Nothobranchius furzeri: one gene and its partner. The protein of the gene in region 2 purifies or fractionates together with the protein of the main gene of each other region. This does not show direct contact. Links are inferred from orthologs where the notes say so. Each region holds a gene or a part of one and is shown on either strand. Other genes may lie near its edges.

Region 1 (3,757 bases), on a different chromosome or scaffold from region 2:
TCAACGAACTTCATTGTTTGTGATTTATGCTATTTGAAACCTGGTTCGAGGAAAATAAAGCTTTTTCGTTGAATCCGAATAAAATCCCATTAACCGGCGATTTGGAGATCGGGGGGTTTCTGTGAAAGCATCACGTAGAAGCTCCTTTTCTTTTCGTCCCTTCAACTGTTTATATCATGCTTACACTCGAAGCGCAACACTTAATAGACTAAATGAAAGAAAATCCAAAATTGGTGTCATTTCTTTATGTGTTTAGCCAACAAACTGAACAAAATATTCATTTACAGCCACGTTTTGCCCCACTGTACTTACTTCTATCATTTAAACGAATATCAGTCTAGTTAAAATCGCATGTATGAATATACGGATAAAATAAACGACCAACACACACATTAGATTAGTCCACATCAGTTCACATGATTGGTTACAAACAAATTTAGATTTGGGTTCACATATCGCTCCTAAAGGGAAAGAAGTCCTATTTAAAATTTTGAATAACATTTACCCAACAAATAGACTCCTTGGGGATAGATTCAATATAGAAGCTGGTAATTGTGTATTTTGTGAAACAGAAGAGGAGGACTTAGACCATCAATTTTTTTTGTGCAACTTTATACAAATATTTTGGTTAGATTTTCATGCCTGGCTTTGTTCTAGTGGGATTCAAATTGCCCCATTTACCTTAAATATGACAATGTTTGGAGTGTTTTTGAAAAAAAGAAAGTTAATTATGGTGTTAATGTGTTATTAATTTTGTGCAAACAATTTATACATAAATGTCAATTTTTAAGACCAAACCAACACTAGCCTATTGGAAAAACGACTTAAAATTATTAATTAAATCGTTGAATTTAGTTAAAAAGAAAAAGGCAGATTTGTTTATTTCCTTTGTAGAAGATTTTGAGTTAGTAAGTTAATAATCTGTTAATTATGTGACCCCATCTTTAGATTTTCTTTTTTTCATATACGTGAAAATGTTTAATATGCATGTAATGATTATCGTTTGAATATATAATGTACGGTGCATTTTGTTTGTATGTTATCTTCTCTAAAAAAAAAAGAAAAAAAAAAGATTTGGGTTCATTTGCGACATACGGTAAAGCCGTATATTGTTTCGTCGCGCATGCGCGAATTGCGTAAATAGGTGGTTCCCGCATGTCAGTTGAGAATAATTTGATTTTCACCAGAAACAGCAAATAACAACAATCATGAAAGAAACGCCGCTTTCCAACTGCGAGCGAGACTTCTTACTGAGAGCAATCGAAGAGAAAAAGGTGCGTTTTAAAACGTTTATCATCAAAGTAGCTAAGAAAACAACCTCCACATCCAGAACGTTGAATGGAAAAACTGAAAAAAATCCGTGCTTCTATTCATGATTGTATCTTTAGAAGTGAGAATTCACACCAAAATTGTCACAGAAATGTTTAAGATAAAAACGTTGTAACCGAAATTAAGTCATTTAATTTTCCAAGTTCCAACTATTGTTTTTGAAGAAACTAGCTAAAGTTCTGTTTACTGTTTTTTGTTCGTGTCTTTTAGCGGCTCGATGGACGACAGACCTATGACTACAGAAAGTTGAAAATCACTTTTGGGACTGATTATGGATGCTGCTTTGTGGATCTGGGGCAAACCAGGTGATTCTGGGGTTTGGTAATGTGATGAAAGCTGCTGAATGATTCTAATACTGACTAACATGTTGTCTCTAAAATCAACACGAGGAACTGTTAGGGTCAAAAATCCTTGGGAGTGCAACCTTCATCAAAATAACAAGAACATCAGATTCCCTTTCATCCCTTGCAATGAGTGAAGAGATAAACATGTAAAAGAACAACGTTTATTAATGCTGAAAGTTTTGTAACTATTAGTTACAAATCAGTGAATGCATTCTGTCCTCACGGGCTTCCGTAAAAGGAAACATGGCATCCAATATTGTGTCACCCAGAGACTTAGACCCACTCCTATGCATTTTAAACCCAATTTTTATGGCTATACAGTGGGGCAAAAAAGTATTTAGTCAGCCACCGATTGTGCAAGTTCTCCCACTTAAAATGATGACAGAGGTCAGTAATTTACATCATAGGTACACTTCAACTGTGAGAGACAGAATGTGAAAAAAAATCCATGAATTCACATGGAAGGATTTTTAAAGAATTTATTTGTAAATCAGGGTGGAAAATAAGTATTTGGTCAATAACAAAAATTCAACTCAATACTTTGTAACATAACCTTTGTTGGCAATAACAGAGGTCAAACGATTACTATAGGTCTTTACCAGGTTTGCACACACAGTAGCTGGTATTTTGGCCCATTCCTCCATGCAGATCTTCTCGAGAGCAGTGATGTTTTGGGGCTGTCGCCGAGCAACACGGACTTTCCACTCCCTCCACAGATTTTCTATGGGGTTGAGGTCTGGAGACTGGCTAGGCCACTCCAGGACTTTCAAATGCTTCTTACGGAGCCACTCCTTTGTTGCCCGGGCGGTGTGTTTGTGATCATTGTCGTGTTGGAAGACCCAGCCACGTTTCATCTTCAAAGCTCTCACTGATGGAAGGAGGTTTTGGCTCAGAATCTCACGAAACATGGCCCCATTCATTCTGTCCTTAACACGGATCAGTCGTCCTGTCCCCTTAGCAGAAAAACAGCCCCAAGCATGATGTTCCCACCCCCATGCTTCACAGTAGGTATGGTGTTCTTGGGATGCAACTCAGTATTCTTCTTCCTCCAAACACGACGAGTTGAGTTTATACCAAAAAGTTCTACTTTGGTTTCATCTGACCACATGACATTCTCCCAATCCTCTGCTGTATCATCCATGTGCTCTCTGGCAAACTTCAGACAGGCCTGGACATGCACTGGCTTCAGCAGCGGAACACGTCTGGCACTGCAGGATTTGATTCCCTGACGTTGTAATGTGTTACTGATGGTGACCTTTGTTACTGTGGTCCCAGCCCTCTGCAGGTCATTCACCAGGTCCCCCCGTGTGGTTCTGGGATTCTTGCTCACCGTTCTCATGATCATTTTGACCCCACGGGATGAGATCTTGCGTGGAGCCCCAGATCGAGGGAGATTATCAGTGGTCTTGTATGTCTTCCATTTTCTGATAATTGCTCCCACAATTGATCTTTTCTCACCAAGCTGCTTGCCTATTGTAGATTCACTCTTCCCAGTCTGGTGCAGGTCTACAATTCTTTTCCTGGTGTCCTTCGAAAGCTCTTTGGTCTTGGCCATAGTGGAGTTTGGAGTCTGACTGTTTGAGGCTGTGGACAGGTGTCTTTTATACAGATAATGAGTTCAAACAGGTGCCATTAATACAGGTAATGAGTGGAGGACAGAAAAGCTTCTTAAAGAAGACGTTACAGGTCTGTGAGAGCCAGAGATTTTCCTTGTCTGAAGTGACCAAATACTTATTTTCCACCCTGATTTACAAATAAATTCTTTAAAAATCCTGCCATGTGAATTCATGGATTTTTTTTCCACATTCTGTCTCTCACAGTTGAAGTGCACCTATGATGTAAATTACTGACCTCTGTCATCATTTTAAGTGGGAGAACTTGCACAATCGGTGGCTGACTAAATACTTTTTTGCCCCACTGCATGTTATGAAACAACCACTATTTGTCAACAACTGGGCACTTTTTAATTCATTTACAACATTTCAATGGATATTTCCAGAGATTAATGGTAAAAACTACACATTGTCACTTTAATATAATCTAGAATCGACCCTTGTCTGTGACCTTTAGATGCTTTTAAGGGT
Region 2 (3,757 bases):
TGGAGCACTAAACCCGAACTACTTTCCTAATTACACTAACAGCCAAACAGTAACTAAACTACAATATCCAACAGCCAAGCTAACACTAAATAAGTATGTATAACACTAAAAGCTATGCTAAAGACTAGGATATGCTAATGCTATATGCTAATGCTGAACTACGGCTAGCCTCCTACACTCTCATGCAAATCCAACTCCCAACTCGCCACAAGGCGTGGCCGAGACTCCCGATGCTTTTATAACGTTGACACAGAGCTGCTACGTAGTACTCTACTGGATTACGTAGTATCTTACTCTTTAGCCATTGGCTAAAATTTATTCAAAATGAGTCAAATTCTATGTTTTAAGCTGAAGGTGGAGCTATACTGTGGTATTTAGGCAGAATTTTTAATTTTTTAAGAAAATGCACCAAAATGCTAAAATAATGAATACACACATTTAAAACACTATTAGACACTCATTTATACAGTTCATCAGCAAAAAAAAGTTAATTTAGACGTTACTTGCTCTTTAAGTTTGATCAGAAGTTGCTATGTGTATTGTTTATTTGAAAACTATTTACAGAGCAGCCTCAGAGTTGAGATTAAATGTTTTTGATCACAATAGTAAAGGAACTATTACAGAACAAGTTTTTCAATAAAATCAGAACATTAATATTTAAGTGCATGAATTAAGAGAGAGAGAGAGAAAAAAAGATCTTTTCTATAGCGCCTCTCAAGATAAAAATCACAGGGCGCTTCACAAAAACAAAACATGTAAAATAGAAAAAAGAATTTAGAAAATGATTAAATTAAAATGAGCAAAAAATAGACAATTGTGATTAAAAATGTAAAGAAAGAGAGAGAGAGTGAATAGGAAAGAGGGAGTGGATCCTCCTCAGGAAGAGGAGAGAGAGAGAGGGGGGGGGAAAAAGAACCCCGACTGGAGTGGAAGCAGTGACATAAGAATTAAGTCACACAACGTTTTCCACAAATGCACACGTTCATTCGGAAAGCCACACTCTTGTGTTTCACAAATATAATTCGGAGGAACACAAATGCACAAGCTCATTCGGAAATTCACACTCTTTGACTCATAAATATAATGTGAAAAAATAAGTCACGCAACATTTTCCACAAATGCACACGCTAATTCTGAAGTTCACACTCTGTGGTTCACAAATATTATTTGTAAGAACACTTGTAATATAAACTCACAGATCATCCGAATTGCTGAACGTGCATTTACGAAAAGCTTCTCATTTGTGAACCTTTCTGCGTTTGTGAGTGAAATCTGTGCGCTGAATTTTGGGGGCTTGTCTCCAGCATGTGTTACCATGGTGAATGGGAGGGGCTTCAAGCTAGCCACATTGGTCTTTAAATTATTGTTGGCTAATGTGTTTCGGTTTAAACAAACAAACATATAAACTGAAATAATTTACACAAATTCATCTTCGAGTGTTTTCACGGTCATGTCCTTTTATCTTTCTAGAAAAGGTTAGATGACCAGGATCCAATTCGAACAGCTGCTCGTGTTTGATTCATCATCCTTAACATCGACCATGCATGCGCATCAATGTTCGATTGTTTCAGACTGTGGTGAGCGCTTAGCCCAGTGGCTAATGCTAAGTGCTGATTGTTAGATCTAAACGAGTTCGTTTGAATGAGTTCGGATTTACTTTAAATTAGTATAAATTAATCGGCACAATATGGCGGAAGATTCATTCAAACTGTCAAAAAACCTGCTGCGGATGAAGGTAAGCGTTAGCTGCTAGCTCTGCGCCGAACGTCATTGACTAAACAGAAATGAACGTTTGATGTGTGATAAGAAGACGCTAGTTTCCTCCCAGATGCTGACTCCAAGCAGCGTTTATCACCCTGAAACTGAACTTGAATTCGGGGTAAAGCAACGAGACGAAGCGGATTTAGGCGTGTTTCAGAGATGTATCTGATCTCTGTGAACCCGTGGAGGAGCGGGATGTGCCTCCTTCATCTGGACCACTCTGAACCAGGACCGAACCTGAGAGAAGATTCTACCAAAGTCCAAAAAAATCCGAACCACAGCTCACAAAAAGCCAGAGCTTCTGGTGCAATGATTAGAATCTTCACTCCCAACACGTCCTCCATCCTGAGCAGCACCACGCAACGTCCTACAGAATCAAGTCCAGGATGGACCGACTGGTTCTGGGAGACCTGGTGGCCGCCAGAGAGGAGCCTGGGAAGGGAAAGCTGTGCCTCTTGTTTTACTGTTAGAACCTCTAGGAAGGAACCAAACTTGCTGCTGCCTGAGAACCAGGAGTTGTGGGAAGAGAGAAGATTTCTGATGGAAGTCAACTTTAGAAGTTCTGGATCTTCCAGGAAGCTGATGATCTTGGCAGCATTGTTGTGGACCTGGCTAACGGTGGTTTTGGTTGGGTCCAGATTGAGTAAATGTGTGCTTTGTGTTTCAGTTTATGCAGAGGGGACTGGATGCTGAGACAAAGAAGCAGCTGGACGAAGACGAGAAGAGGATCATCAGTGATGAACACTGGCACCTGGACCTGCCGGAGCTCAAATCTAAAGAGTATGAGAACAGGAATCCCACTAGCCTGGCGAGCCACGACCCATAGACAGATCTAAATAATGGGGTGGGATCTACGTTTTTTTTTTTTTGTTTTCCAATAACATCCTGCCTACTTAGTGTTGCGATTGGTCCATGAAATCTATATAGCGCCATGATTGGACCACTACAGAACAGCAGCCATCTTTATTTGTAGTTTACCTGGCTGATACCTATGTTTGGACAGTTTCGAGCGGCAGCCATGTTTGTTTGCAGGGACATCCCTCCCACCTCGCTAAAAGAGCACTGTGATTGGCCCAACAAACCAGTAAAACACTGATTGGAATGCCACGGATGTCAGTCAACGGGGCAGCCCGCCGTTACATTAAAAAAAAAAGTAAAACAGCGCGCCAGCACTAGCCTGGCAAGCCAGACTAAATAAATGTATTATTTAGGCAGGATGTTGTCTGAAAACTCAAATTTTATTGATCCTATTTATCTTAATAATTCCCACAAAACTAGATGGTACTAGATTAGTAGTAAAAAGTATTGGTATTGGGCGGCAATACTAGCCCCTGTATTTACTTGGTATCGGATCGATACCAAATTTTGCAGTATCGTACAGCACTACTGACTAGTCGGCGGTCAGCCGCTCGTTTGAAATGGCTTTGGCGTCAAGTTTGGACTATTATGACTTTTTAGCTTTTGTTTGAGTCAAGATCAGATAGAAGTACTAACGTTTATTTAGGAAAAGGATGTGTTTTGCATCTTCTTTGACGGAGTTTGGTGGACTGCCTCGTTGACCGACATCTGTAGCGGTGAGTAAATCAATGCTTGCCAGGCTAGAAGAAACGGAATCGATACCATCACGCAGGTATCTAGTAAATACTCAATACCAACGTTAGATCGATACTATCGATATCTTAGCTCGATCCGCCCAGCCCTATTTGTCAGTTTTACTGCCTCGACGCTCCGCAGCTACAACATGGCCGCCGCCTCCTCTCTTTCCATTCAATGTTTCTGGTAGCAGCGGTAAACAAGGCTTTGAAGTATCGCGCAAATTCATTGTGACTCGAGACATGTGAGGTTTGTCTTATTTTACTTACTGCATTATGAAAGTAAACAGCGCGTGCACACACACACACACACACACACACGTTTATTTGTCAGGACGGCTCTCCTCCTCACTGCACCTTCGCTCGGCCAGTGCTTCTTCCCCGGCTCCTCGGGCCCCGCCGCC

Evidence for each region.
Region 1: the proteins of mphosph6 (region 2) and exosc9 purify together in Homo sapiens (affinity purification with mass spectrometry; 5 studies listed by BioGRID and IntAct, with this or other methods). This does not show direct contact. The link is inferred for Nothobranchius furzeri from reciprocal best matches to the Homo sapiens genes MPHOSPH6 and EXOSC9.

The regions. Positions count from the first base shown.
Region 1 is NC_091746.1:81,911,055-81,914,811, reverse strand, and holds the start of exosc9 (exosome complex component RRP45), read left to right. Parts: upstream 1-1,109; 5' UTR 1,110-1,208; coding exon 1,209-1,274; intron 1,275-1,539; coding exon 1,540-1,634; intron 1,635-3,757. UniProt on the Homo sapiens protein: Non-catalytic component of the RNA exosome complex which has 3'->5' exoribonuclease activity and participates in a multitude of cellular RNA processing and degradation events.
Region 2 is NC_091744.1:80,075,102-80,078,858, forward strand, and holds the start of mphosph6 (M-phase phosphoprotein 6), read left to right. Parts: upstream 1-1,535; 5' UTR 1,536-1,687; coding exon 1,688-1,735; intron 1,736-2,428; coding exon 2,429-2,541; intron 2,542-3,757. UniProt on the Homo sapiens protein: RNA-binding protein that associates with the RNA exosome complex. Involved in the 3'-processing of the 7S pre-RNA to the mature 5.8S rRNA and play a role in recruiting the RNA exosome complex to pre-rRNA; this function may include C1D.